Linked DNA regions of Xenopus tropicalis. The protein of the gene in region 3 interacts with the protein of the main gene of each other region in a pairwise test. Links are inferred from orthologs where the notes say so. Each region holds a gene or a part of one and is shown on either strand. Other genes may lie near its edges.

Region 1 (6,441 bases), on a different chromosome or scaffold from region 3:
TGTGTACAAGCCAGGCATCTACTTCTGTGCTTGGCACGGTCAAGCGGTCAAGTGCTCTCACGCAGCCCAGCAGTCGCCTGGAAGTGAAGAACTGGTCCAGATCAACGCTCTTGGGATGTACCCCATAGCCGTCGGAAGTGCCTCTTAGGCTGTGGAACTGGGTCTGGGTGTAGGCCGAGGTAGGTCCTAGAATAATCTCATGCAAAGGGGGCAGATGAGAGGGCAGGTAGGAATCCAGGTCCAAACGTACACCCATCAGGCTCAGCAAAATGGTGAACTGTATCAGACCCTCAGTGAGATACTTCTTCAGAGACAGCATGTCTGGGAGCCCCGAAGAAGCAGGGACCCCCAAAACACACACAATCTTTACCTAGAACAAAATGAAGCAGAATAGAGACAGTTAGGTAACATATAGACCTCTCCCCACCCTCTGCCCTATCACATAACTGAACTCTCAGCACTCACAAATCACTTCCACGCTGGGTAAGTAAACAAGTCCATAGGATGCAATACCTTTCTCATATATCCCTCTTCTGCACTGCCCCCGCCACCTTTAAAGGGGGGTTTCACCTTTTAGCATGTTATACAATGGCCTATTATCAGCAAATTTTCAACTGGTCTTTATTTTTTTATATCATTTTTGAATTATTTGCCTTTCTCTTCTGACTCTTTCCAGCTTTTTTTTTTTTTTTATTACTTATCTTTCTATTTAGGCCCTCTCCTATTCATATACCAGTCTCTACAAGACCAAATAGCTGCTGAAATTCCTAACTGAAGAGCTGCAGAAAGAAAAGCTTAATAATTCAAAAACTGAAAATAAAAAATGAAAGTAAACTGCAAAAATTGCTCAAAATAGTACTCTCTACATCGTACTAAAAGTGAATTTAAAGGTAAACAACCCCTTAATATTAGTGGTCAAGGACACTGTATTTAGTTTATAAAAGCAACTAAAACCATGTGTATTTGTGTAACAAATTCTCTAGCTTATACCCATATGTAGTGCCAATGCCATTCATTCATTGCTCCCCTTAAGGGCCGCAACAAAAAAATGGGCAGTGAAAATATTAAACTGAAATGCCTGGCCTGTAATATAAAAAAAAAGTGCTGGGAGTAGTAGTTTAGCATTCTCTCGTTTCAAAGGGCTATTATATAGGAGAGAAAAAAATTGTTGGGAATTTCTCTATGGTTTAAAGCATTCCAGGATATAAATCGCCTTACGCACACATCTATCTAACTGACTGTCCTTGTACCTTATCTGACAAATAGATTAGTACCATCACACAGCCCCCCATACCCTTCCTTTGCATGCACGCGACTGGGCTGTGTCAGGGGTCTTAAACAACATTGTTAGTCTTTTTATGTGCTTTATAAATACACAGAGCAACAGCGAATATCCGGTACGTTCCATTTGGCCTGTGCCACTAAACGGCGCTCAGAGGGTAATCCTCTCATTGTCACAGAGCTGCCTCTTCTTTAAAAGCCCCCATCTAAGCCAAATGACATATAATACATGCACCTAGCTCTCTATATACACTTGCACCCACTATCCCAAGCTGGCCCTAGAACATCCACATATCTTTTTCTTTGCTGATCTCCTCACAAACACAGATCGGCCCTTCCTGCTCCAAGAGCCCCCAATACATTTGTCTATCCACGTGACTTAATGCAGAGGCGTGTGCTATTCAGAGAGGGGCTCACAGGATAAATGCCACAGAAGATTATCACTTGCTCAGATTCCAGTGCCACCGAGGCCCGACAACACTTCTAAACTGGTCTCTTGTTGTTCAAGGCAACCAACATACACACAGCTGATTGGGGGGGGGGGGGGGGAATATACGCCTTAATCTACACTGCAGGACTTACACACAGACCAGCTTCATATATACATTCCGGCAGGTGAACACTTCTCCAGCCCAAAGCCACACCTAGTTCATTTTCTAGCCTCACAGTTCCTGCAACTTGGCTAAGAACCAATCTCTCCGGAGTGGTAACTTGTTTTAATAATAGCCTAGTCAGCAGATATACCAACTGTCTATTTTACTGCAAGTCCCAGCATCCCCCGGCATTCTCAGCTGGCAGGGGGAAGCCCAATGCCGCACAAAGACTATAGTTTGAACATCCATTTCTATTTGCAAACACAAAATGAAACAACTAGAATATTGTAGTGCAATTACAGTAACAACTTACACTTGTGTGGTTGCTGTTAGATACCCATACTGATCATACAACCAAGTCTGGGCTTCAAAATAGGCCCTGGGATTCCAAGTACACAGCGACCCAAACAGCCCCCCCAGCCCAATAAATAGTGACTGCCTATGGCACCTTACAGCAGCCCCTCTGGCATTTGCCAGAACCCACAGATTGCCAGTCCGGGCCTGTATCTATCCTTCCCTCCTTCATAGTGGAGAATTATTAGTTCTGGACTGGGATACAAAATAGGCCCTGGCATTCCCAGTACCCAGAGGCACAAACAGCCCCCCCCCCCAGCCCAATAAATAGTGACTGTCTGTGGCACCTTACAGCCCCCCTGGCATTCCCAGTACCCAGAGGCACAAACAGCCCCCCCCAGCCCAATAAATAGTGACTGTCTGTGGCACCTTACAGCCCCCCTGGCATTCCCAGTACCCAGAGGCACAAACAGCCCCCCCCCAGCCCAATAAATAGTGACTGTCTGTGGCACCTTACAGCCCCCTGGCATTCCCAGTACCCAGAGGCACAAACAGCCCCCCCAGCCCAATAAATAGTGACTGCCTATGGCACCTTACAGCCCCCCTGGCATTCCCAGTACCCAGAGGCACAAACAGCCCCCCCCCCCAGCCCAATAAATAGTGACTGTCTGTGGCACCTTACAGCCCCCCTGGCATTCCCAGTACCCAGAGGCACAAACAGCCCCCCCCAGCCCAATAAATAGTGACTGTCTGTGGCACCTTACAGCCCCCCTGGCATTCCCAGTACCCAGAGGCACAAACAGCCCCCCAGCCCAATAAATAGTGACTGTCTGTGGCACCTTACAGCCCCCTGGCATTCCCAGTACCCAGAGGCACAAACAGCCCCCCCAGCCCAATAAATAGTGACTGCCTATGGCACCTTACAGCAGCCCCTCTGGCATTTGCCTGAACCCAACATTTGCCAGTCCGGGCCTGGATACAACACTAACCTAGAGGCAATGCTTTATTTTACCCCAACATAGGAACAAGTCTGCACCAAATCATGGAAAGCAATATAAATGTGCAGCCAAGTGTGGGCCTATTGCATAACCCCAGTGGTATAGACCACAAAGTGAAAGTGACTCCTCCCTATTCAGGGAGATTTATGTAACAGTAAAGTCCTTGATTATTAACCTTGAGTATCAAGACGTTGGTGAACTACAACTCCCAGTATTTTCCGACCTCAAGGAATAAAGCATAAAGGGAGTTGTAGTTCTACAGAATCTTTGACCCAAGGTTAAGAAATAGAGCATTTAAGTATTATTCTGATCGGCAGATAATGATAATCTCCCACCCAATTATTATACATAAAATCATTATGGGAATTATAACTATTCTGAATACTAAAGCCCAAACTCCCCGGGGCCACTCAGACTCCCTGCCCTTTGGTTACCCCTCTCTCAGTGACAGAACCCCCCCTGCTCCTCTCAGTCACAGCCTAACTGTGCCCCCCCCCCCGCCCCAGGACTCAGTGCCCCCCCTGCCCCAGGACTCAGTGCCCCCCCCCCCTCTCAGTCACAGCCTAACTGTGCACCCCCACGCCTGCTAACATTATGCCCCATAACCTCAATAACTTCCGCGGTGGGGAAATACCAGTTTTCGCGGTAGAATGGATGAACAGAATAGAGATCCGTGACTAGAAGCTTTCGGCCCCCCTACCCGCACCCCAAGTCCGGGGACCCCGAGCACCCACCCGTTTCTCTTCCGCTCTCCTCGTGTGTGTCCCGCCCGTGGGTCTCCCAGCTCCAGACTCTCACTTCCGCATCACCCGGCAACACTGAAAGCCAGCAGCGGCAGCCAATCAGGAGGAAGGAAGTACTGAGCCCATCAGCGATCACCAATGGCAAAAGAACAATAACACAACCAGCCAATAAGACGATAGCTGAAAGCTACGTCACCAAGCTGTCTCTGTCACGCAGTTAGCCAATCGCACGATAGCGTTGTAAGTTACTAGCGGTTACATCACCCACTGCCGCCAGGAAGCTAAGCTTACAGTCCCGCTTGACTCCTCAGCCTACTTCCTGCCGGGTCTGCTGTGCAGCCGACACACAAACCATGCCTGACACCTGAATAAAACCACACTACATGAACTAGAAGCCGGAAAACCAGCCGCTTTGGGCCTCACAGTGACTTGCAAAAAGATTGCGTCTTACGTCACACGTTCTAGAAGCTTCAGTGCGTGTGACGTCGACGCGTGTCCATAACAAAGACGTTGCGCAATGTCGGCAACATGTGGCGTGATGTCACCTTAGCGATACTTTAGGTTGTTTGGGATGAAGTCCCTTGTGTGGTGTCGCAGTGTTTATATATATGTAGCGCCGGCACGCCTACCGACCGTATTACTGCGCCTGGCGTATGTTCAGTGTGCGGAAGGGAAAGTGACAGGAAGGTTGGGGGAGTGGGCGTGGCTTGTAGTCGGGAAGCGCCTGAGAGTTAAACATGAGCTTCACGGACAGTGTGCCGGTATGGAAGGGGCATTCGCACCATGAGTTCCCCCGGCGTGTCCTTGTTCCCTCCCCAGCGTGTGCTTGTTCCCTCCCTAGCGTAGTTTGCGCAGTCAAGTGACTGCCCCACATGCTGACTGCACCGGTGCCAAGTGCGCTTACACTTACCCAGCACCCTAGCACCCTGTCCCAGCCAGCTAATAACCTCCTCAGCACCCTATCCCAGCCAGCTAATAACCTCCTCAGCACCCTATCCCAGCCAGCTATACACCTCCTCAGCACCCTATCCCAGCCAGCTATTAACCTCCTCAGCACCCTATCCCAGCCAGCTATTAACCTCCTCAGCACCCTATCCCAGCCAGGTATTAACCTCCTCAGCACCCTATCCCAGCCAGCTATTAACCTCCTCAGCACCCTATCCCAGCCAGCTATACACCTCCTCAGCACCCTATCCCAGCCAGCTATACACCTCCTCAGCACCCTATCCCAGCCAGCTATTAACCTCCTCAGCACCCTATCCCAGCCAACTATTAACCTCCTCAGCACCCTATCCCAGCCAGCTATTAACCTCCTCAGCACCCTATCCCAGCCAGGTATTAACCTCCTCAGCACCCTATCCCAGCCAGCTATTAACCTCCTCAGCACCCTATCCCAGCCAGCTATACACCTCCTCAGCACCCTATCCCAGCCAGCTATACACCTCCTCAGCACCCTATCCCAGCCAGCTATTAACCTCCTCAGCACCCTATCCCAGCCAACTATTAACCTCCTCAGCACCCTGTCCCAGCCAGCTATACACCTCCTCAGCACCCTATCCCAGCCAGCTAATAACCTCCTCAGCACCCTATCCCAGCCAGCTATACACCTCCTCAGCACCCTATCCCAGCCAGCTAATAACCTCCTCAGCACCCTATCCCAGCCAGCTAATAACCTCCTCAGCACCCTATCCCAGCCAGCTAATAACCTCCTCAGCACCCTATCCCAGCCAGCTAATAACCTCCTCAGCACCCTATCCCAGCCAGCTAATAACCTCCTCAGCACCCTATCCCAGCCAGCTAATAACCTCCTCAGCACCCTGTCCCAGCCAGCTATACACCTCCTCAGCACCCTATCCCAGCCAGCTATTAACCTCCTCAGCACCCTATCCCAGCCAGCTATTAACCTCCTCAACACCCTATCCCAGCCAGCTAATAACCTCCTCAGCACCCTATCCCAGCCAGCTATTAACCTCCTCAGCACCCTATCCCAGCCAGCTAATAACCTCCTCAGCACCCTGTCCCAGCCAGCTAATAACCTCCTCAGCACCCTATCCCAGCCAGCTATACACCTCCTCAGCACCCTATCCCAGCCAGCTAATAACCTCCTCAGCACCCTATCCCAGCCAGCTATTAACCTCCTCAGCACCCTATCCCAGCCAGCTATTAACCTCCTCAGCACCCTATCCCAGCCAGGTATTAACCTCCTCAGCACCCTGTCCCAGCCAGCTATTAACCTCCTCAGCACCCTATCCCTTCCAGCTATACACCTCCTCAGCACCCTATCCCTTCCAGCTATACACCTCCTCAGCACCCTATCCCAGCCAGGTATTAACCTCCTCAGCACCCTATCCCAGCCAGCTAATAACCTCCTCAGCACCCTATCCCAGCCAGGTATTAACCTCCTCAGCACCCTATCCCAGCCAGCTATACACCTCCTCAGCACCCTATCCCAGCCAGCTATTAACCTCCTCAGCACCCTGTCCCAGCCAGCTATTAACCTCCTCAGCACCCTATCCCAGCCAGCTATTAACC
Region 2 (5,949 bases), on a different chromosome or scaffold from region 3:
CGCAGTCGATATCCGCCAATTAATGCGAGACTTGGCGTATGTAGGCAGATATTGGCTGAGTGTGCCTGCACCCAGGTGGATTCATTGCTTCTGTGTTCAGGCACAATAATAAGATTTTTCAAGCGTAAGGGCATATGTGTCAGTGTGTGCTTATATGCAAGCTGACAATCCGTGGGGCCTTATCCTTACAATGATTTAATTAAGCAGAGTATATATGACATGCTACAGCATTTTTCCAGTTTTCTAAGTGCCCTGGGAGACAGGCATTTTCCTTTACACCTTATATTGTTCAATATCAATTACTTCTTTATTGCACCTATAGAGGAAGTGGATAATGCTAAATTCAGAACATTTGCTGGAACATTGTTGTACCTCATGTTAGCTACAAAGCAACAGGAGGAAATGACAGACTGTAACTTGTCTCTGAAATCCTTCACTAACCTGAGTCATCCACAACTGGTAAAGCAGACACCCGCCGTTGCACAAAGATGCCCAAAGCAACATATACAGGAGTGTCCGGGCGAACAAGGGCAATATTTTCATAAGTGCCAATGTGCAGATCTTTTAGGGATTTAGTCACAAAAGCAGGTTTCTCAACTTCAGACATCTTCTCATTGAAAATATAAAATAAGAAATTCTGATGAAATGAGGTCTGTGTGTAGAAGCCAAAGGAATAATACAAATAGAGCAAGACTTACAAAAAGCTTAAGGAATTTCAGGATGCGTTTGTGTGTCAGGATGTACAGAGTATTCCCTGAGTCAGGAGAGATTACAGGAAGACGGTGTATACGGTTCTTTATCAGTGATGAGACAGCATCAAACAGACTAAGGACAAAAGGAAGAAAAAGATAGACTTTTCTCAGTGCATTTACAATATTCCCTGCAATAGTCTTATGGCACATGGTAATTTAATAGTTAATATGAAACATTGCAATTAGGCTCTCAGATCACGGACCATCCCAGCAACAGTGTCTTGGCTCCTACCTGGCACTGGGTGAAATGCTAACCAAAGGCTTAAAGGAATCCTGCAAGTAGAGCTCTAGGGGAAACAAAAAAAAAAATCCAGATCAGAACATTAACAAAACAAAAGCCCTTGCAGACTGATCACTTCACAATGCAAATATATGATTGAACAACTCATTTGCAAGCCTAAAATGAACAGCCACTTGCTGTTATCTAATATGTTGGCTGTTATAGTGGGTCCTCTTGGTAAATGCAGGAATAAATACAGTACCTTCTTCATGAAGCCTAGCAGTACAACATGCCAGATATGTAAAATAAGTGAAAAGTGGAGGCCTATCCTGCATTCACTAAAAATTGTATTGCTCATGTGTATGCGCCTGTATCCAGACTCACCTCTCCATGTCTCAATTTTGTGTTCCTCCAGCTCATAAATCTGCACCTGGTTTGAAAAAATTAGATGAAACGAATAACTCCAACTTAGATTCCTTTGTACCTGTACTGAGAAGGGCGCATTAAACAGTGTTGCATTCTTTGAATTGCTAAAAGTTCTAGGTACCATCTTTAAGGAATTGTTCTCTCTACCTTCTGCTCTGTGAATTACATTACATTAACATTTATTTATAAAGCACCAACATATTCGAATTACCTATTTTCCTTACAATATGAACACAGAATTTCTTTCAAAATCATTTAATGTACACCTGTAAGCAAGTAATTTAAAGATCAATGTAAACCTGACAGAGTGTTCTTTAAAAAGTTTAATAAACATATAATAAATATTATAATATATCATATAATGTAAGTAATGCACTTGAGGATCTCTTACCACTGTAATGACAAAGAACAGATTGTAAAATATACCTAGATGCACCTTTTTTAACTCACCATTGGTGACTTGTAGTAGCGATGGAGAATATTGATGAAATCGGTTATGGTTAGCATACCTATATTAGGAAAGTTAAAAAGATGAAAGGTCAGATATAAAGGAGAACTAAAGAAGTAGGTTAGAAATACTGAACATTATGTTCTGGGCTCCTATACCAGCCCAAGATAACCTCAGCCCTTTATCATAGAAGATCTGTGCCCCTGAGGATGCCCCCAGTAGCTCCCCATCTTCTTTTCTGCTGATTCACTGCACATGCTCTGGGCTGCTGTCAGTTACTGAGCTTAGGAACCAACGCACAATATACTGTATATATACAATGTAAATGTCACAATATAGGCTGATTTGTAAATAATACAGATAATTAGTGCATGACAGCTCTAAAATCAGTGCAATTAGCATACAAATTTAATAATCAGCCCTGTAGCATCAGCTTATATTACAGGTGAACCACATTTTGTGCTTAATTATTTGCAACAACCCCTAAGCTTAGCTTCTCAACAGCCGCTCAGAGGACAAGATGGGGAGTTCCTGTGACAAGTTTGAAGCCCTGGATCATTGCTGCTATTGAGATGCTGAAACTTAAGGATGGTGCAGTAAGTTCAGTATATAAAATACAGCATTTTAAGTCATATTTATTTTTAGGGTTCAGTTTAGTTCTCCTTTAACCAGGAGCGCTGATTAAATGGTGAAAAGGTTACCAACACACAATAAAGAAACCGATGTGATATTTTATTTGAGGATAGCATATGCCAAATGTTCATCCAAAGAAGCTGTCTGTCTATAAGGTACAATTATTTACAAAGATTTATCATTCTGAGACTGCAGTATCCCATCAGGGTGATCTCTCATGAAGCATGTTAGTCACCCGCTCCAAAATGCCTGTCCACTGGCACAAATAGGAATTGCTGATGGAAAGGCCTTTGCGGTTTCCTCCTGCAGGCAACTTTGTGCAACCAAAGCAATTGCCTTTCCACTATGGACTCCTGTTGTTGCTGGTGGAAAGATCTATCGCTCTGCGAGGCATCAGCCTTAACAAAGACATGCTTACCAAACACTACAAGTAAGAATCCACCCTTCAGTTTACAGAAATATAGTTAAGTCTGTTAGGAAACAGAATGGAAGGTCATATGAGCAGAGCAACTTTCAGAGAGTTCTCAGTTTCCCTTCTGAACTCTCTCTCTAAGACCATACAGAGGAACTGACCAGTAGGTGGCACTGTTTGTTTGTTTTTTAACAAAACTTATTACAAGTTAAACAACAGCTTAATAGCTTTGAAACAACAAAACAAACCATGTAAATTAAAGAAGTGCTTAAAAAAAGCACCCTGATCAATGTTACATTCATTTTTAAAGGTTTACATATTCTTTAATATTACTAATAAATACACAGACCTACAAAACACATTTTAGTTGTAGAAATTACAGTTACACAGATGATATCCAACATGTACATTTGCTTGGCTAGGTATGATCAGCTGCTGCCGAGAGGTTAATGTGAGAGCTATAACTGAAAATAACAGAACACCTTTGTTTTATTTGGTGATTTGTGAACAAATCAAAAACTTAAGCCATTTTGTTGATTAAAGAATACTCTGCTTCCAAAAGAAAGACAGCTTAGTAGAAATGTTAGGATATTCATGTCTCATGCTAACATGATACTTTTATTAGACACTTACCTACAAAGCCTTGCTTTTTGCTATCCCAGAGTGGCGCAGCTCTTACTCCATTAGTGACTAAAGCAAAGAATGCTTTCTTCACCTGCAAATTTAAGAGAGGTTTGAATAATTAAAGCAATAGATTTGTGGCCTTTTTATTATTCAAGCTTCCTCATTACAAGGTTACAGATACTGGTATAGGATCTATTAACTTTGGATCACCATACCGTAATATCTGCAAAAAGCATTCAAACATTACAAATATTAAAAAGGCTTATTTTGCAACCAGTATGGATTTATGCAGCTTAGTTAGTATCAAGTACAAGGCACTGATTTATTATTACAGAGAATTATTATTATTACAGGAAAGAGATGGCCTTCCCAGCAGAAGCATTCTGCATAACAGGAAACCAAATAAGGGCTCCCATACCTGTATATGAATACACCGTTGTATCAGTCCTTTAGACACAGTTCCAAGTACATCTAGGGCAGCAAACAATTGTTTTCTTGCCCTAATTGACCCTGAAGCAGGACTTCCAGGAGCAACTAGGAGACCCTTACTGTCCTTCAAGCTGGGCCCCCTTAGCCGTCCCCCCAGTTTGGGAAGCATCCAGCTAAAGCCAAGGTCACAAAACACATGATACTGGTTCTACTGCAAGAAAAACAAAATGATCTCACCTGCAGGGATGTATCAAACACAACAAGCTTTGAGCTGATGGGAATGAGATCATAACATTTGTGATTCTTCATAAACCGCGTGTAAACTCCACTGTCTGATTCCAGAACTATGTATGAAATAGAGAAAAATTAAAAATAAATATGTACTACAATTAGAAAAGTTTCCATGGCCACCCTACTCTAGTTTTTGTATTGCTTACTACAAATGTACTTACCATCTGAAGCAGGCTCACATTTCTCCTGCATATTGCTTTCGATCATAACAGAACCCTAAAACATTAAGAGATATTACAATTCAGAAAAATGTAAACATATATTAAAAGAAGACTATAGAAACATTACTGTAGTTACTACCCTACTGCAATGTTCCCTGTGTGCTGGCCTAACATTTTAAGGTCAACACACACAGTAAATTGTGGTGCACACAATATGGCCCTAGGGGTAGTATTAATTGTACTTTGTCATATTTTTTTTTTTTTTTTTTTAATCTTAGCACTTTATTGTTTTGTTTTTCTAAATCAATTAAATTTGAATATCGACTGTTTGCTTATTTATTAAAGTGGTAAACTTGGGCGATTAAAAAAAACCTCAAATTCTTGAGTTTGAACCCGAATATAACCCATAATCTCGAATTACAAACTCAAATACAACAATATGGCTTGACTTTGCCTAGGACAACTCCCATTGACTTCTATAGAAACTCGTAAGCTAATAAATACCAGACATTTGCGTTTCTAACTCGAATTTCGAACTTAAGTGCAAAAAACCTCAAAATAAAAAAAAAACCAAACTCAACAGTTTAGAAATCACAGCATTAAAGTTTAAAAAATACATTTAAAAAGGAATAGTCCATGTGCACAAAAAAGGGCACAGACATCTTTTTCCTTTTTTTCTTATTCAGCAAAGAGTAATTACATCATAAATATCAGAAAATCTCAATGGCCAACCAACGAACACAAAAAAAGTTAAAAAAAAAACACAGCAAAAATATCCCATTCAACTAACAAATAAATAGCATGCATATTTGCACTTATTTCAAAGTACAAGGTTTAAAATAGAGTAACAATAAAAAGGGAGATACAAATAATAGTGTTTCATTATTGAGGCAAGATACTGATTTATGGAAATAAAATATCAATAGACTGAAGGCGCAAAAAGCATGACAGTACTGTGGGAGTAGAACTTACATTCTGGGGCTCATTTATTTTGAACCTGGCCAGTTACCCATGGCAACCATTTGACTATTTGTTCTACCTTCAGCTGGCTGAAGAAAAAAAAAAAAAGCTAATAACAGATTAGTTGATATGGCTTACTGCCCAGTGTTGATAAATGGCTCTCTATCAGTTTGGCCTGTTAAGTAAAGAACTGACTCCTTCATTTAAGGGAGTTGAAACTGAAGAACAACTGAAAATATTTTACTGAGGGAAACGAAAAAAATAGACACTTTTCATTGAGGTGAGGCAAAGCTAATGAGTACTCAGATGTCTGCTATATACCCTTTCTTGTAGGGTCCAGGAGATAGTAAAAAAAAAAAAAAAAAAACAGCAGGGCCACTTTAAAAAGAAGTATACATAGTAAACTGAGCCCCTTTAAATAAAACACAGCTATGTTGCATGCTCCCATAACCCTATACACCAGACTTGCTCTTTAACTGTCTAACTACCAGTGGACTCTACATTACAGACACCAAAGTTAGAAGTGGATAGTGTAAATTTGATGGTCAAAGCAATACCCACTTACAGCCATCAGGCAGTCAGAGGGTTAGGAA
Region 3 (6,605 bases):
ACACTTAATGCCACCCATCTTCTCAGTGCCACTTGCCTTTCTGTGTGCTGCCCAGCAGCACACAGAAAGCCTGAGATACTCCTGCTCTCTGGGTTCCCACCTGACTGTGGCCCTGCAAAGTGCCAGCTATGACTAATGTGGCCTAGGCATTTTATTTAATTAACCCAAAGATATCAATCAGGCGTTTGGTCCTGATCGCATTCCCAGCTGTGCCTATATCTAGCAGGGAAGGCCCAGACTGGCAATCTGTGGCTTCTGGCCAATGCCAGAGGGGCTACTGTAAGGTGCCATAGTCACTCACTATTTATTGGGCCTATGGGGGGCTGTTTGGGCCTCTGTGTACTGAAAATCAGGCCCAGACTGGCAATCTGTGGGTTCAGGCAAATGCCAGAGGGGCTGCTGTAAGGTGCCATAGACACTCACTATATATTGGGCCTATGGGGGGGCTGTTTGGGCCTCTGTGTACTGAAAATTAGGCCCGGACTGGCAATCTGTGGGTTCAGGCAAATGCCAGAGGGGCTGCTGTAAGGTGCCACAGACACTCACTATTTATTGGGCCTATGGGGGGCTGTTTGGGCCTCTGTGTACTGAAAATCAGGCCCGGACTGGCAATCTGTGGGTTCAGGCAAATGCCAGAGGGGCTGCTGTAAGATGCCATAGACACTCACTATTTATTGGGCCTATGGGGGGCTGTTTGGGCCTCTGTGTACTGAAAATCAGGCCCAGACTGGCAATCTGTGGGTTCAGGCAAATGCCAGAGGGGCTGCTGTAAGGTGCCATAGACACTCACTATTTATTGGGCCTATGGGGGGCTGTTTGGGCCTCTGCCAGTCTGGGCCTGATTTTCAGTACACAGAGGCCCAAACAGCCCCCCATAGGCCCAATAAATAGTGAGTGTCTATGGCACCTTACAGCAGCCCCTCTGGCATTTGCCTGAACCCACAGATTGCCAGTCTGGGCCTGATTTTCAGTACACAATCTGTGGGTTCAGGCAAATGCCAGAGGGGCTGCTGTAAGATGCCATAGACAGTCACTATTTATTGGGCCTATGGGGGGGCTGTTTGGGCCTCTGTGTACTGAAAATCAGGCCCAGACTGGCAATCTGTGGGTTCAGGCAAATGCCAGAGGGGCTGCTGTAAGGTGCCATAGACACTCACTATTTATTGGGCTGTTTGGGCCTCTGGGAACTTAAAATGCCAGGGTCTATTTTGAATCCCAGTCAGGGTCGGACTGGGCCACTGGGAAAAATACTGGTGGGCCGACGTGTAAAACGTATGCATGCTCAGAGGCGGGCATCGGGCTGGGGGACCCTGCCAGGTGAGGGGGGGTGCGGGGGACACGGCCGGGCGGGGGCAGCGGCCTCGGTGGGCCCTGCACCCCCCAGTCCAACCCTGATCCCAGTCCAGACCTGTAGCAGGGTCACATGATCACTTGAAAATTCAGGGACAGGGCTAGAAAATTGTATTTCAGTTTAATTTAAAGGCATCAGTGCTGCCCTGTAACATGTACTAATTAGACCTGTCCCCTGAACTCTCAAGCGATCTGTTTATCCGAGGTGATCTCTGGTTTGTGGCAGCTGTACCTTACAGGGCTGGAAATAAATGGTGCAGGTTCAGGCAGCTAATAATATGGCGACTCCTGACTAAAAAGACACGTCTTTCAGTAGCTTCGAGGGTGGGCGGAAACGCTCCTAAACGCTCCCCTGTGATCTAAAGGCCAACTATATATACCCGCCACTTCAGGCATTTTGTCACAGGAACGGCTTGGAATAATGTCTGCGCCATAGCCATGGGCAACGCACTACACTACTTACCACTAAAACATACATACACGTCTCTCCCCCGCCCTTTAGGTAACACTTTTACGCAATAAGCCAAGCACTTTGTTGTTTAATGCGCAACAGGTGACGCTATAGTTGGCCGGGAGCTGAACCAGAGCCGCAGGTCTCCCCGCTCCGCTGAGCTCTCTCTCCTCACTTTACTTTCACTTCCCTAAACAGTCACCTAAGCAGCGCCCCGCAGCCAATCACAGCCGCCCTTTCTCCTCCCTTCAATAACAATAAAAAAAAAACCCACTTGTAAGCTCCGCCCCTAGTGGTGCGGACGTCATGGCCCCGCCCAGAGGCAGTGTGAGTGACGCGGGCTGCTGCTTAGTCACGGTGACTGCTCCAGAGCATGGCGGGGGCAGCTGGCAATCAGACCGGAGTCCGGTGAGACAAGGGGAAATGGCGGTGCGGGGCCCCGGGAAGTACCGGAGGGATTGGGGAGGCGGGGAGCTGGAACAGGAGAGGGGGCGAGCTGGAGGGATAAAGAGACGGGCGGACGGGAGGGGGCAGGAAGCAAGGGCCGGGGGGGAGTAGGTACTGACTGGGATGATATCATTGGCGAGTAAGGTAGCGCCAACCTGCTGCTCTCAAGCTCTCCCTGAACTACAACTGCCAGCAGCACCTAGGGGTGACTTGTAGCTCAGCAACAAGAGCTGAAGGGCTGGAGCGTAAAGCGCGGTGTGTGTGTCCTACAGGGGGGAATGGGGGACCAGACATGGAGAGAAGCGTAACCAGTGCCTCACACTCACAGCTGTATGTACACTCACTCTCACAGCTGTATGTACACTCACTCTCACAGCTGTATGTACACTCACTCTCACAGCTGTATGTACACTCACACTCACACAGCTGTATGTACACTCACTCACACACACAGCTGTATGTACACTCACTCACACACACAGCTGTATGTACACTCACTCTCACAGCTGTATGTACACTCACACTCACACAGCTGTATGTACACTCACTCACACACACAGCTGTATGTACACTCACTCTCACAGCTGTATGTACACTCACACAGCTGTATGTACACTCACTCTCACAGCTGTATGTACACTCACTCTCACAGCTGTATGTACACTCACTCTCACAGCTGTATGTACACTCACACTCACAGCTGTATGTACACTCACACTCACAGCTGTATGTACACTCACAGCTGTATGTACACTCACACTCACAGCTGTATGTACACTCACACTCACAGCTGTATGTACACTCACACTCACAGCTGTATGTACACTCACTCTCACAGCTGTATGTACACTCACTCTCACAGCTGTATGTACGCTCACTCTCACAGCTGTATGTACACTCACTCTCACAGCTGTATGTACACTCACTCTCACAGCTGTATGTACGCTCACTCTCACAGCTGTATGTACACTCACTCTCACAGCTGTATGTACGCTCACTCACACACACAGCTGTATGTACACTCACTCACACACACAGCTGTATGTACACTCACTCTCACAGCTGTATGTACACTCACTCTCACAGCTGTATGTACACTCACTCACACACACAGCTGTATGTACACTCACACACACAGCTGTATGTACACTCACTCTCACAGCTGTATGTACACTCACTCTCACAGCTGTATGTACGCTCACTCACACACACAGCTGTATGTACACTCACACTCACAGCTGTATGTACACTCACTCTCACAGCTGTATGTACACTCACTCTCACAGCTGTATGTACGCTCACTCTCACAGCTGTATGTACGCTCACTCACACACACAGCTGTATGTACACTCACACTCACAGCTGTATGTACACTCACACTCACAGCTGTATGTACACTCACTCTCACAGCTGTATGTACGCTCACTCACACACACAGCTGTATGTACACTCACTCACACACACAGCTGTATGTACACTCACTCACACACACAGCTGTATGTACACTCACTCACACACACAGCTGTATGTACACTCACTCACACACACAGCTGTATGTACACTCACTCACAGCTCTGTACCATGATATGTACACTCACACTACCCCATGGCATGCATACACAGGGCATGCGGTGTCACCCCCCCCCCACACACACACAATTACACCACTACATCTTTATACAGTGTAGGCAGCAGCAGTGCAAGTCGGCCCCCGCACTACCCCATGGCATCAACACACAGGGCAGGCAGTGCCAATCTCTCCTCTACACTCACTGACACCATGGCATATTTATACAGTGTAGGCAGCAGCAGTTTTACTCTGCCCCCTTACACACACACACACCTGTACCATAGCATGTATACACAGCACAGGTGCCAGTCCTCACACACACACACAGTGCCTTTGTGACCCGCATACACACAAGCAGTACAGTACTAGTTGTGACAGTGTTGGATACAAAGCAGAATACTCCCTTTAGAATGATTGGCTGCTGGGAGCGACACTTTGGGGCATACAGCTGCTCAGCCTTGCTTTCTTCCCAACTGGGTGACTGGGTGCCAAACTGCGCTTTATGGAAGGTGCAGCGCCTCTTGCCTGTGTATTAATCAGAACAACTTTGCTTTTGCCCTTATTTGAAAATGACTTTTAATACGTAGGGGAAACCACTGCCAGCCCTGCACCCAGTACAGTGGCACCCAGTACAGTGGCACCCAGTACAGTGGCACAGGTCTTCCCATTATTCAAGCCTATCATCAGTGCGAGGGTGCTGCCATACTGGGCTGCTTTAGTTGAGAGATGAGACACTTGTCGCACTTGTGTGCTAGAGTTAGAAGAGAGCGGAGGCTATCTCAGTTGTTGTGCTCTGAGGCTGGGTGTGAGTGGAGCCTAATGGCTTCCTGGCAGGCCTGTCCTGATTGGGGCAAAGTGGCACAGAGACCAGATAATAATGAGGTAGTGTATTCTCATTTGTGCCTATAGAAGGTTCTACACTAGGTCCCTGCAGATATTGCCCTGGCTGGACTCGAACCCAGGACCTCAGTGCTACAAAGCAGCTGTTACTTTTTTTTTTTTTTTTATACAAACTGAAATAGTGCCTTGTTACTCTCTGCCACATTAGATGTTCACGTTTCATATATTTGTGTGTTTGGAAAGTAAATCAACTAACCTTTTTTGTCTTGCCTACCTCTTAGTTAAAGGACACGTCAAACCACCCCCCCCAAAAAAAAATACTTTTTACCTTATAAAACAAATATGAGCAACTTTCCAATATGATTTTATTAAAAAGAGTTTAGTGCCTTAAAAGTTATTTGCAAACGTAATTGCCGTGGAAAGCCGCATTTGCTGTTGGTTATGATTTTTAAACAATGTTGCAAAAGGCAGTCTCTTCCAGAATAGACAGGTCTGCCGGCTGGCTTTGTGCTACATTGTTTCAGAAGTCAGAACCAGCAGGGCAGACAATGGCCAATTCTCAGCAACTTTTCGACCGGTCTTCATTTTTTTATCTTTTAAAGTTTTTGAATTATTTGCATTCATTTACTGCCTTTGCTCGGCTTTCAACGGGGGTCACTGACCCCGGCAGCCAAAAGACTATTACTCTGCGAGGCTACAGTTTTATTGTTGTTACTTTTATTTAACTTATTGTTATTTTTACTTATTTGTTCTGTTCAGCTCCACTACTCTTCATATAGTGGTCGCTCTCTCAAACCTCTCCCTGGTTACTAAGGTGAAATGGACTCTAGCAACCAGATTGCAGCTGAAATGTGAAACTGGAGAGCTTTGGAACAAAAAGTTAAGTAACAAACAATAAAAAATGAAGACCAATTGGAAATTGTCTCGGAATATCACTCTCGACATCATACTAAACCTTTGAGGTAGTTTTTTAGTATGATGTAGAGAGTGATATTTCGAGACAATTTCCAATTGGTCTTCATTTTTTATTATTTAACTTTTTGTTTCAAAGCTCTCCAGTTTCACGTTTCAGCAGCTATCTGGTTGCTAGAGTCCATTTCACCTTAGTAACCAGGGAGAAGATTGAGAGAGTGACCAATATACGAATAGTAGTGAAGCTGAACAGAAACATAAGTTATTTAACTTTTTGTTCAGCAGTTCTCTAGTTTATAGTTTTAGCAGCTATCTGGTTGCTAGGGTGCCAATTTCCTTAGCAACCAGGGATTGGTTTGAATGAGAGACTGATACATGAGTAGGAGAAGGCCTGAATAGAAAAAAAAGTTATCAAAAGTAACAATAACAATAACATTTTAGCCTCACAGAGCAATAGTTTTTGGCTGCCGGGGTCTCTAGTCTCACATTTCAGCAGCTATCTGGTTGCTAGAGTCCATTTCACCTTAGTAACCAGGGAGAGGTTTGAGAGAGTGACCAATATATGAATAGTAGTGAAGCTGAACAGAAAAATAAGTTTTTTAACTTTTTGTCCAGCAGCTCTCTAGTTTATAGTTTTAGCAGCTATTTGGTTGCTAGGGTCCAAATTACCTTAGCAACCAGGGAGTGGTTTGAATTAGAGACTGATACATGAGTAGGAGAGGGCCTGAAAAGAAAAAAAAGTTATCAAAAGTAACAATAACAGTAAAATTGTAGCCTCACAGAGCAATAGTTTTTGGCTGCCGGAGTCAGTGACCCCCATTTGAAAGTTGGAAAGAAGACAGAAGAAGAAGGCAAATAATGCAAAAACTATATAGGCAGTTTATCTTTGGTGCGACTAGCATGGGAACTGCTGCTGCTGAACGTAGGAGCATAAAGGGTGCTCTATTAACCCAAAATGGCTGCATTAATGCAATATTTACACGCCGCGCAGTGTGCCAGGTAAACATGGGATGTGTGTAAAGCAGTCATAACTCT
Region 4 (6,749 bases), on a different chromosome or scaffold from region 3:
CTGTAGCTGCCAGTCAACATAGGGGTTATTAAGTAGCCAACAACAGCTTTTACTGGCACCTCTAGAAACCATTTCCATACTTGTGTTGCTCCCCAATATTTTTTCCACTTAAATGTGGCTCACCAGTATAAAAGGTTGGGGATCCCTGCTCTAAGGAGTTGGATACCAACACAAACATGAGAGAAGTTCATGGGGGTGCCAAATATGGCCTGTAATTGGCTATTTGATAGCCCCTATGTGGACTGGCAGCCTACAGGAGGCTCTGTTTGGCAGCGCACATGGTTTTTATACAAGGAAAACTTAGCTTCAAAGCCAGGAATTCAAAAATAAGCACCTGCTTTAAGACCACTGGGAGCAACATCTAAGAGACTGGTGAGCAACATGTTGCTCACAAACCATTGGTTGGGGATCACTGTAGTCTATTGCATAGTGTGACTTATACATACAGAATTCAGTTAGTAGGAACAAATGACCCTTGCCTGAATCTAATTTCACTAGTGTGAAATAGGTCTAAATTACTATATGGATGTAATTAAAAACTGATCTGAGACATGCCATAGGCAAATCACAAAGCATTAGCATAACCACTAGCTGCAACAGAGAATTTGCCACTGTCAATAAGGCTTCAGGGCACATTGACATACTTTGCACTTTGGCTAAAGAACAAATTGTTTTATAGTATGGCAAAGACAAAGTGCAACATCTGTATGTATCATGCAGCATCCAACTACATCATATAGAGGGGCTTGATTTCTGCCATAGTTCTTATCTTTTTGCAGATACAGGCCCTACAGTCATAGTATATTCTTGTTTTATCAGCTGTACCATTAAGTGCACTACATCTGAAATGTAATTTAAAACCTACATGGAATATGCCATTACAGTCCCATTTATAACACTGCAAGAGAAGCACCTTTGTAACAGCTAGAAGCAGTGGGTCACATGCTGAAAATGTACATCATATTTAAAGAAAATTGTAGCAACAACATTTTGAATAACACTTAACAAATTGCAATAAGCTGACTTAAGAAGCATTAAAATCTAAATAAAGACAAGAAATTCCAAGCAGTAATAAAAATGAAAAAGCTCAAACCAGGATTCAAGTGTCTATATTCCAGAAACCAGTAGAAAAGGACAGACTTGCCATGCAAAGTTTTTAGACAACTACTGACTATCGTAATAATCATGCACACCTGTTGGAAGATAATGTAAGAGGCTCCCCTAAAGGACTTGTCTGAAAGCCTGTAGAGAAATTGTGTAAGCACACCTTTAAATGTACCAACCTCCCTTTAATCGTCCACCGGTTCTTCCAGTCCAAACAGCTTTCGAAATGACTGTAGAAGTGGTTAAGTACGTCAAACAGATATAGGAACATGGGACAACACGTGTAAAGAAGGTGCAAGGCTTGTAGCCATTTTTATTTTGGAAAAAGGCAAGTGCACAACAATTTGGAGTGAATACTCTTCTTCAGGTGAAAAGAGGCACCAATGACTACTCACACAAGTCTTTATAACAAATACTTATATCTGCCTGCCACAATCGTATTTAACCCAACAAGTCCCACATTGTAAGGTGGTTATAGATCCAGATGAGCCCAAAGCAACAGTCCAACCCAGAAGTCCAACAAATGAATAGCTCCATGCTTGTACAATTTTAGAATTCCCAAGTTCATGTTAGTGAAAAATATATTGAAAAATTGGGACTTGGACTGTATTTCTCATAATATTTTTCACAAACATGGACTTGAGATTCTAATGTGGAACATGCAAGGGGCAAATCAATTGTTGGACTTCTTGGTTGGACTACTGGCTGGATTTATCTGGATCTATTATCACCTTACAATGTGGAACTTGTTGGATTGAACGTGTTTGACTCACGTGGGATGCAGTATGAGTTGTATTTGTTATACATACATGTATATGATTAGTCATCTGTATCTCTTTTTTACCCGAAATGTTTTGCACTTGCCTTTCTCCAAAATAAAGATGGCTTTAAGCCTTGCACCTTCCTCACAGGCGTTGCCCCATGTTTCTGTATCCGTTTTACGGACTTGCCTATATCCCCCATCCTCTGTGACCTACATCCCCTTTAATGTCAGTGTGGCAGGCCTGGCACACTGCAAAAATGATCAGGAATGGCTGAGCTGGGAATTTGAACAAAACACTCCATCTGACTTTATCTGATCTGACATTACAATTCAGATTTTGTAGGATTCTATAAAATCTCATGGTGTTGCATGACAAGATCGGATAAAACCTGACCCACAAAATCTGATCAAAATCTTCGTATTTGACAAATGAATATAAGAAGGAGGAATTTTTGCACATTTGACCACATGCAACTTTAAGTGCAAAGAACCAACATATTCAAAAGAGTTTCTTGTCTTGTACATGTACAAACATGTAAAACAGCTGGCAGACTTTATCCATTTCATATGGTTTTGCCCAGGAGATGGCTGGCATTGGCACTGACACACTCACTAACTTAAATCCAAGTACACAATTTTACGTTCTTGACTTTCAGTTTTCCATTATGACATACCCATCAACTGCTTTTGCTTTATTAAGTAAAGTCACCTTATCGTGTTTAATATATAAAGTTCCAAATTACCGAAAGCCCATCTCGCATAGACTCCATTATAAGCAAATAATTCTAATTTTTAAAAATGATTTCCTTTTTCTCTGTAATAATAAAACAGTACCTTGTAATTGATCCCAACTAAGATATAATGAATCCTTATTGAAGCCAAAACAAGCCTATTGGTTTTATTCAATATTTAAATGATTTTTAGCAGATTTAAGTTATGGTGATCCAAATTACGGAAAGATCCCTTATTCGGAAAACCCCAGGTCCCTAGCATTCTGGATAACAGGTCCCATACCTGTACCATAAATAAGGACCTCATGCCCATGCACAGGCTACACACTTATAGACAGGGGGGGGGGGGGGGCATGTGAGAAGTGCAGTGACATCTAGGAGGTACAGAAATGAAAGTAATTGCAGGGCCTCAGACATAGAGGTGGGGAAGACAAATTATTATTGATAGTTGAGCTTGTTAAATGAGGTTATAACATGGATACATATTTTAATAAAAAGTAAATTAGGGTTTCCTGCTTAATTTGAAAATGACTTTTATTATAGAGCTTTTTATTTCTGGGTGACAGGTGCCAGTTTACTACCAGACCTAGAGGAGAACTGACTCCTGTTACACCCTTTTAAAGGACATGTAAACCCTGCACGCAAAAATTTAATCAGTGAACAGCCTCTTTGAAATCTTTCAGTACCTGCCACACTGGTTGTCCAGAGGTTAATCGTAAGGCTGCAACATCTCCTTAATCACTTGGATTTCCTTCTTCTCCTGTAACCCCCCCCCCCCCTCAGTAATTTGCTTTGATTCCTGGCTTGCCAGACATGCTCAATTGTTCTAAACTCAGATTACTAAACACACCCCCCAGTCTAGCAGCCAATGAAGAGATGGCATTGGTGGTTATAGTAACTCAGCTCTATTTCTTTTTCCTAACCTCCTCTCCTGAGCTCAGCTCGAACAAAGCAGAACTTTTATCAGAGACAGTTGTGCCTGTGTGAGCCTGTATTCTTGATGAAATGTATGCTGAATAAGGGTCTGTGTGTGTGTATGCTGTTTGGGTGGGGGAGATGTGCCCAACTGATATACACTGTAGGCAAATTTAGGCTTTACATGTACTTTAAGGTTACACTGCACTGCAATTACATCTGCATATAACCGGAAAAAATGATAATGTATAATGGAAAGTAAAGTTACATTTTCTTTTACTATTGGTTTGTTCACAATTAAGCATTTTTTTCATACCTAAAATCAGTTCTCAGTTTGGCACAGTCTTGGGGTTGTAAAATTGGGGTTACAATTGGCTGGTTATTTAGAAGAACCTTTTGTGGACAATTTGGTAACTGTTCAAATCCAAAAATGATGGGTGCAGTGCATCCCTATTTTTTGCATACATATTTAAAAATCAAGATATTAATAGCACTTATGAAATACATAGGCTGCGTCTATGTGAATTATAGTACTATAATTAATCACAGTCCCTGATTGATTTACATTGGGGGACTATTTAGACTCAAAATACTGATAGCGACCATTTAAAATGATTTTTTATTGTAAACTCGCCATCCTTGTTCATTCAAATGATTAGAGCTCCTACAAGTAATACGAACAATGTAATTTCCTCACCTGTTCAGGATTTTGACAAAAATTGAAACGACCAGACTTCCGGGTTACAGCACCAACCACGCTTGCTGTGGTTCCGCCCACATGTATACGTAACGCCTGCCCTTACCCATTCAGTGAAGAAGCAAAGTCACTGCTATTCAATGAAATTCCCAGATAGTGGTACTGAAGTAAGAATGAAACGCAGTCATCCAATCGGCGAGCGGTATTCAAGGCTCTAAGCTTATCCAATGGCAGCACAGATCGAGTGTGATTGGCAAGTATGTCTACCAATGGTACAAGCGTAATAGAAAGTCCGAGAAGCCAATCGGGTAAAGCGAAATGAGCTTGCGTGCTTATGGAGAGCTGCTTATGAAGGTCGTAAGGGGAGTGCAAGAGGACTGACATAAAGTGGTGCCGTGTTCCTGCAGAGTACTGACTTACTGAGGGGACGGTAAGCAGCTGTACAAGTAGATGTAGCTTGAGTGTGCATGGCAATAAGTTCGAGACAGCTGGAAATTCAGTGCTTTATGGCCTGTGGTCCCCGAAATGTCATATAGCATAAGTGCCTTTAGACCCCAGGCATGTTTCCGTGTGGGACTGCTAGTTGCCCCCTGTTCTGTAATAATGCTGTTTTATGTGGTAATGGTCCCTCAGGTCCTGGGATTTCAGGGAAATTCGGATTCATGCCTCCCCTTATCTTTCTAACTAAAGCTGCCCATACAGATCTTATAGTTTAGCCCCAGTGGTATTTTGAATCCTGCCCTATTATTATCTGGCAGATTTTTGACCAGACATTGGTTGGGCAGGCCTTTCAGATGGCCCTATACACAGGCCGATAATCTGCCAACTTGGTCTGGAAGGACAGAATTGACAGTTTATATTGGCTGGTGTATTCTGTGTTGTCATCGTACAAGTGTTTCCCAAGCATTCCTTCTGCTTCTACAATGGGGTATGCACACCTAAAATATGTATTAATTACTTATGAGCCTTTTATTCTGAATTTTATACACACACTATATTCTAAGTCAGTCCCTAAGCTCAGTAAGTGACAGCAGCACAGAGCATGTGCAGGGAATTTGCAGAAAAGAAGATGGGGAGCTACTGGGGCATCTTTGGGGGCACAGATCTTCCCTGCTAAAGGGCTGTGGTTGCCTTGGGCTGGTACAGAAACCCACAAAATAGTCTGCAGTATTTCTACCCTACTTCTTTATTAAGCTTTAATACCCCTTTAGAAACAATTACAGATCATTTACATTTTTGGTATAGATTTATTTTTGTGTTTTGAATTATTATATTATTGGTGCCTAAGATCCCAGATGGGAATTCTGCTGTATAAAACTCTCCCGCAGAACAGAATTGATTGAATAAATTATTTGTAATACTTGCACCATTATATGCAACTGCCATTCTTGACTGTTGATTTTTTCCCCTTACAGCCCCAGAGACCCATTAGTATTTATCTTGTTCCATTGTTCCCTGACTGCTTCATACTTATTCAGGTGCATTTTGGCAGACGTGAGGTGAGTGCTCGCTTCTTCTTTCTAGTGAGTGTTGTCCTTGCTTTTCTGCAACAGATCTCATTATTTCAAATAATCTGTCTGCAGACATGACACTAAGCTGAGAAGAGAAAGGCCTGCAGATCTGCAGATACTTTTTAAGATTCTTTTGTGAATTCACAACATGTTCCTTTGGCCAAGACTGTGCGAGTACTTTCACTCCTAGGAAGAACTATTTCTCATTTGAAAAATATGTCTCTGATTTCATTTGGGATTTAAAATGATTTTGTAACTCATTCAAACTAGACAGACACCATTTATGATGTTTGCAGGAGTTTATGACCTTCTTAGTTATGTGCTGGCCTGAACTTGTGGGACCCACAAGCCAACATCCACACAACTTTTGTGGATGGGTTTGGGCTGCACTTTACCATGTGTCCACCCTGCCTATGACCTTACTATGCCCCATCTCTGCCTCCAGATGTTAGTATTTATAAATTCGACTCTGTGTGCCCTGCCATTTTTTGCCCTGTCAGAGAGGGGCAGGTCGGGTGCAGGTCTATAAATACAGAGGGTTATGGTCAGGTGGGTTGGCAGGGTTGGCTACTGGTCAGCTTTTTGCCAGCCTGCACATCACTGTTACTTCATGATCTGTCTCTAGATCTGCTTCTTGCCTCTGCACTGAAAACTATATGTTCTATGATAGCTTTAGCCAAAGTAAAGCAGATTTATATTTTCTAGGGCTGCCCTATATGAGACATGGCAGTTTAACAGAAATATTTCTACAGCTGACCCTGATTACAGTATTTTATGGAGGAAATAACATTTTAAATAATCTGAAATGCTATACAAATGAAGCAAGTGCCAGTGCTGTCATTTATTTAATCTCTGAAACTCCCTCTGTATATCAGAATCACTATGGAAAATGCAGTAATGCTGAAAACAGGTCAGGGCAATGTCCCCTTTAATCTGTTGTGTGCAATGTATGTATTTTAACAAAATTCTATGCACCAAAATTTGTTTCGTGTGTTTTGGTCATAATATAAAGAAATGCTTGCCATGGG
Region 5 (5,949 bases), about 120 Mb from region 3:
GCTATAACGCCCTCCCTATTAAAAATAGTATTCCTAACAACTGTTACACAAGGACTTGTGGGAAAACAAAAAGCTGCAAAATACAAGCTTTGAGGCGAATCAGAAAATTCGTCAAAAGGAGCCAACTTTAGCAAAGCTTTGTAATTTGAAGAACAAACAGCTACCCATTTGTCAAAATGCATATTCTACAAAAATATATGGTTTTCTTAGTAAAAACCCAAGAACCTTAGAACACTGTATTCGCAATGCAATTAAATAAACACTCTGGCACATTTAAAAAGCCCATATATACACACATCTATTATGTGTATACACATACATTATATAGCTATATATTGAGGTTGGTACTGTCTGTTTTTGCTCATACTAAGTACATGTACATACTAAGTGCAAATCTGGATTATTACACGTCTCAAAAACCCATAGCATATTTTGAAAAATATTTTATAAATACATAAGGGGTGCAAGACACATAGTAAATTTCAGTCTATACCTTCACAATGTTTTGTAAAACGAAATCCATACTAGTAACCAGTCAACTACAGGTATGGACAGGTTATCCAGAATGCTTGGGACCTGGGGTTTTTTGGATAAGGGGTCTTTCTATAATTTGGATCTCTATAACTTAAGTCTACTATAAAAAAAAAACAATTAAGTATTAAAATCAACAAGATTTTGCCTCTAAAGATAAATGATATATTCGTTAGAATCAAGTACAAGCTACTGTTTTATAAGAGAGAAAAATCAATGAAATCAATGAAAAATCTGATTGAGTCTATGGGACATGGCATTCCTGTATTTCAGAGCTTTCTGGATAATGGGTTTCCAGACAACGGGTTGAATATCTGTACAACTTTTTCACATGCTCTAAGGAACGTGTGTTGTGTGTATGTAAAACATAAATGTAATAGAGGTCTATAGCGCATTAGAATTCTTGACAGACATTGAAATAACAAAACACCTCTGTATGTACCTCTGTATGAAATTTGTTATCACATAAATAGAGAGAGGTATTGATTGGTTTGAAAGGTTCAAAATCAATGTTGACTTTCTTTTCCTTTCCTTCCTCTGTTACAATTGTTCCACAGTAAACAACCAGACCATTAGGGGGAACTAGAAGAAAAGAAAAATTGTGGAGTAGGTTAGAACATTTTGAAGTGAATACTGTAGAAGTTTACTACATTCATTTCCCATGCATGAGTGAATGCAATACATCGAAAGAGCAAATTGCTAAGTGTTTCTCACAATGCAGATTTTCCTCCCAGAATTCCACTCAATGTGCATCTCTGGCACTAAAACATTGAAAATGCAGAAGTGCACTATGTGATAGTGTGATTCCAAACAGTTACATGATACAGTAAATACCAGTGAGTTACATAACCAGTAACTCATTCAGAGGGAGGGAGAGACCACAGGAACTACAGTACCAGGGAATATTAAGAGGGGTTGTCGCAGGATGGGCATCATGTTCTGACATCAAATCAATACTACATGGTACATGGAAATTAATTTGGATCACAGCTACCTAACTTTACTGCAGAACACCCTAGAACAAGTAAAAAAAACCTGTTTGCTCACACAAGTGCAAATGATGGGGGCAGGAAATAGAAGAAGCTTCCATCCAACACTGATTGAATGAGGCCAATAATAAAGTTAACCCCTGTCCTTGTTAATAGCATCCTAACATACACCCTTCCATATATGATAGAGGGACAGATCCCATACTAGTTTACACAAGTTACCACTGGTTTGACTGCTACCCTGGTTTTTAAGCTGTGACACAACCTACAGCTATGACTTTGTGTTCCTCCAACTAAAGTTTAGTTTGTAGTTTAATAATAATGCTCACCAAGCTTAGTAACAGTTAACTCTTACCTTGTCTGACCACTAAGTTAGTAAATAACTTACTATTTACTAAACTGATGTTCACCTTACTATTCATGGTTTTAAAGGAGAAGGAAAGGTAAAAACCAAGTAAGCTTTATCAGAAAGGTCTATGTAAATACAGCCATAAGCACTCACAGAAATGCTGTACTGACTTCTGTCAAAAGAAACAGGATTTGTTGTCCGTTTTCCTGTGCCAGAGACATGCAGCTCTCTCCCCTCTCCTGCTCCCCCCTCCCTCAAGAATGCTAAAAACTCCCTCCCCTCCGCTTAGGAATGTGTGATCTGAGCCAATCAGCAGGAAGCTTTCTCATAGTCTTACAAACAGAGCATGTACAGGGGTCTTGGTCTCTGTGCAGGAGCGAGGCATTGTGGGAACTTTCTTTACAGAGCTCAGCATTTTTTTTTTTCCTATGAGGCTTCTGATCATCTGAATGGGAGAAATATGGGGAGAATTAAAGGCTGTGGCACACAGGGAGATTAGTCGCCTGCGACTAATCTCCCCATGTGCCACAGCCCTAAGGGCACTATTGAAGGAGCTGAAGGTATGCCTGCAGCTTGAGATTAACTCTTAATTAGCTTTTCCTTCTCCTTTAAGTTTTCTCCCCTCTTTCTTACTAATTCCAATGAAGGTTTGCTGTGAAGCCATATGAAATGTCTGGCCCCAGTGCAGGGGTGCAGAAGGCTGGAAGAATTACTCATGTCTTTTCATTACTGAAACATTTTATATGGGGTATATTTTAACCTGCAGAGTAAAATTGTACTCTAGTTATCAAAGTATAATCTGGTCAACTGCTGGAACACCAGACCTTAAATTAAAAGGGGGCTTGTCTTCCAGTGTCTTAAAGGAACAGTAACACTAAAAAATAAAAATGTTTTAAAATAATTAAAATATAATGTACTGTTGCCCTGCACTGGTAAAAGTTGTGTGTTTGCTTCAGAAACACTACTATAGTTAATAGAAATAGCTGCTGTGTAGCCATGGGGGCAGCCATTTAAATTGAAAGAAGGAGAAAAGGCACAGGTTACATAAGTAGATACCAGATAAATCGTGTAGAATACAATGGGAATCTGCTACTTATCTGTTATCTGCTTAGTAACCTGTGCCTTTTCTCCTTTTTACAAATTAAATGGCTGCCCCCATGGCTACACAGCAGGCTATTTATATAACTGCAGTAGTGTTTATGAAGAAAACACACAACTTTTACCAGTGCAGAGCAATAGTATATAATATATTAATTATTTTTATACACTTTCATTTTTTGGTGTTACTGTTCCTTTAAAAAAAAAAATAAAACAGACCCCTATCTTATACTTCTGCAAGAAACTCACTTGGAGGATAGTAGAATTCTAACATGAAGCTTAGGTGGCCTTAGATGTCTTAAAAAATATGTGTTCTGGTGTCATGGAATCTAAAAATGTAGGTTTTTCATATGTTTAGGCCAATACGGAAATAGTGATATATTCACTTTGCCACTAGGTTAGTAGCCTACCAGTTCTAATTTGTAAAAACAAAAGGTCCAGGGAAGAGTGTACTTTTAGTAAACAGCAGCATATGCACACTCTAATGCGAAAAACAAAAGACCCTGGGGGCTGGGTGTCTTCTTACCCAACACAATGGCTTAAGACACAGTACTGGGAGATCTCTTTATACCACCCAGAACCTGTTTATCACATGAAAAAAAATTCTCCCACCATCTAAATAGGAACAAAGACATAGTATGTGGTTGTTTATTTTCTTACACTATACTGCACAATACTATAGTAGAAAATATAGTTCCCTGTAGATATCAGTGCATCATATTAAAGGGGGATCTATAGTGAAAATGACAATTTAACATAATTTTCACTGAAATAAACTTCCTGAATATAATAGATTATGAATTCTGAACTGTTTATAAAACAACAAGAGTTAAGTCCAATTTAAGCTTCCACAATACACAATTTAATATCCCTGATGTAAAATGGCATCTTCCAGTTTGTTTCCCAAGTTACTAACATTTAAAAAAAATGTTGAGTTTCTGTATATATACTGTGTCTGTGTATATTATAAATTCCACACATATACACATAAACAGGAGGAGGTGAAAGTAAAGATATCAAGAGGCACGTAAGGGCAGTGGCACACGGGGATATTAGTCGCCCCGCGACAAATCTTCGTTGTTGCGGGCGACAAATCTCCCCATGTACCACTGCCCTTAGTGTAGCCTTTTCTTTGAACGTACACATTTCTTACAGACTAAATATTTTCAGCCTTGTATCAGGGCTGTATTTACCATATAGGCCCCAGAAGGCCCATGCCAAGGGTACCACCTTTTGTGGGCCAGGCCATTGGTGCCAATAGGCTAAACAAAATTTGTTCATAATTAATTAATACACCTCCCAGCTCTCTGTCAGGAACTATTGCCTACATAACCTTAATATACAGTCCTGACTTGCGTAACATTTCTGCTCACTCTGCATTCTCTGGTTGCTGTGGCACTACAATTCTTTTTGGCTATTACACAGGATGAAGCCTAAATATGCTTTTTTTTTTTTTAATTGTATGTACCATTCCTTTTGTGCATAGATTTACTAAAGACACTGACTCCTTTACCAAAAGGAGTTTAACTCTGATTCTAACACAGACAACCTAAATATAAAAGCTTGTAGCTATTTCTTACCTTTGTTATAGAGTTTAAGTCTCTGCTGCACAGATGTAATTGCTCCCAAGACCGAAAGTCTGTTTACTCGTGATTTAATGTTAGATGCGGTACCAAATTCATCAGCCAGCATTTTTGCCACTCGAGAAATCTGGTCTTTGGGTGGAATGATTAAAGATATCATACTGGTACCATTGCTATATAAATTTAAGAGGTAAATAAAAAAAAAAAAAGTTAGCGTTAACAAAGAATATATTAACAAGCACTGCAGCTAAGGCTGTGTGTACATTTTAGCAATGTTTACTCACTTATTTGCTTGACAAACTAGTCGCAACTAGATTTTGATATGAAATAGCACCATAATATAATACTATTGGAGAGCTAAAAGGGAAATGCTTCCAAATTAAACATGAAGTATAAGGCATTCTCCAACATAAGATACATTTATCTAATGCTGAAAAATAGGCCTATAATGTATGCTTAGTTTGTTTAATAAGGCTTGTAATTAACATATTTCTTTACTAAACAGGCAAGGAGGATTTTATTTATAGCACTATGCACAAATCAATGATTAGATCAGCCACAATTAAGCTGAAACAGGGCTGTTAACCCATTCACTTAACTAAATACATTAACTAACTAACTAACATGACTTACTCAACAACTACTGCAGTGCATTACAAAATGTAACTACTACAAGGTGCACATTACCTGCAATACAATGTAAGAAATTCACTTTTTGTTGCACACAAATTATGCTTGTGCTGTTTTAGAAATACTTTAACCAAAAGTATTAACTAATTGGAATATTCAATTACTTGTTTAGATTAAATTAATTTAGTTTTTACTTTTCTGCAAATACTTTTTAAAAAAAACAGTTAACTTTTTTAAATTAGGTGTATAAATAAGTGCAGCACAGAAATTTTTAACAAACACCTATCTATAATTTGGGAAGATATTTATGTACCAGAAAACAACTAAACATTTAACACACAGGCAGTATAACAACATCTATTAACATAAAATGATATCTTTCTTAGCAAGAAAGCTTAATTAGGGCAATGGCACAAAAAAGATTTCTCACCCATGGGAAATGGCAAATATATTATACAATGGACAACTCTTAGCAGGTTTGTTTTTATAGTTTATGAATTATATGCCTTGCTTTTCTGCCTCGTTTCAGCTTAAAAATGGACACTGAACCCAGCAACCAAAAAACTTCTAGCTTTGTGAGGCTACAATTTTATTGTTACTTATCTTTCTATACAGGGCCTCTCCAATTTATATTCTAGTGTCATTCAAACTACTGCCTGGTTGCTAGAGTAATCTGTACCCTAGCAACTTGATGGCTGCCAAAATGCCAAACTAAAGAGCTTCTGAACAAAGAGCTAAATAATTGAAAAAAAACACAAATGAAAAATAA

What was found.
Region 1: the proteins of keap1 (region 3) and nfe2l1 interact in binary tests that used the Homo sapiens proteins (3 or more experiments, as listed by UniProt). The link is inferred for Xenopus tropicalis from reciprocal best matches to the Homo sapiens genes KEAP1 and NFE2L1.
Region 2: the proteins of keap1 (region 3) and prkag1 interact in binary tests that used the Homo sapiens proteins (3 or more experiments, as listed by UniProt). The two-hybrid records come from large-scale screens. The link is inferred for Xenopus tropicalis from reciprocal best matches to the Homo sapiens genes KEAP1 and PRKAG1.
Region 4: the proteins of keap1 (region 3) and dpp3 interact in binary tests that used the Homo sapiens proteins (3 or more experiments, as listed by UniProt). The two-hybrid records come from large-scale screens. The link is inferred for Xenopus tropicalis from reciprocal best matches to the Homo sapiens genes KEAP1 and DPP3.
Region 5: the proteins of keap1 (region 3) and etf1 interact in binary tests that used the Homo sapiens proteins (3 or more experiments, as listed by UniProt). The two-hybrid records come from large-scale screens. The link is inferred for Xenopus tropicalis from reciprocal best matches to the Homo sapiens genes KEAP1 and ETF1.

What each region holds. Positions count from the first base shown.
Region 1 is NC_030686.2:11,700,180-11,706,620, reverse strand, and holds the start of nfe2l1 (endoplasmic reticulum membrane sensor NFE2L1), read right to left. Parts: upstream 4,385-6,441; 5' UTR 4,361-4,384; intron 4,064-4,360; exon of another isoform or gene 3,901-4,063; intron 371-3,900; 5' UTR 320-370; coding exon 1-319. Other genes in the region: copz2 (coatomer subunit zeta-2), read left to right, coding at 4,647-4,670.
Region 2 is NC_030678.2:136,346,526-136,352,474, forward strand, and holds part of prkag1 (5'-AMP-activated protein kinase subunit gamma-1), read right to left. Parts: intron 4,452-5,949; coding exon 4,397-4,451; intron 4,289-4,396; coding exon 4,182-4,288; intron 3,607-4,181; coding exon 3,525-3,606; intron 1,908-3,524; coding exon 1,849-1,907; intron 1,403-1,848; coding exon 1,357-1,402; intron 1,040-1,356; coding exon 985-1,039; intron 826-984; coding exon 699-825; intron 608-698; coding exon 442-607; intron 1-441. UniProt on the Homo sapiens protein: AMP/ATP-binding subunit of AMP-activated protein kinase (AMPK), an energy sensor protein kinase that plays a key role in regulating cellular energy metabolism.
Region 3 is NC_030679.2:138,053,132-138,059,736, reverse strand, and holds the start of keap1 (kelch-like ECH-associated protein 1), read left to right. Parts: upstream 1-2,187; 5' UTR 2,188-2,209; intron 2,210-6,605. UniProt on the Homo sapiens protein: Substrate-specific adapter of a BCR (BTB-CUL3-RBX1) E3 ubiquitin ligase complex that regulates the response to oxidative stress by targeting NFE2L2/NRF2 for ubiquitination.
Region 4 is NC_030680.2:37,998,016-38,004,764, forward strand, and holds the start of dpp3 (dipeptidyl peptidase 3), read right to left. Parts: upstream 4,339-6,749; 5' UTR 4,211-4,338; intron 1-4,210. UniProt on the Homo sapiens protein: Cleaves and degrades bioactive peptides, including angiotensin, Leu-enkephalin and Met-enkephalin. Also cleaves Arg-Arg-beta-naphthylamide (in vitro).
Region 5 is NC_030679.2:20,587,774-20,593,722, reverse strand, and holds part of etf1 (eukaryotic peptide chain release factor subunit 1), read right to left. Parts: intron 4,724-5,949; coding exon 4,548-4,723; intron 1,114-4,547; coding exon 974-1,113; intron 1-973. UniProt on the Homo sapiens protein: Component of the eRF1-eRF3-GTP ternary complex, a ternary complex that mediates translation termination in response to the termination codons. The eRF1-eRF3-GTP complex binds to a stop codon in the ribosomal A-site.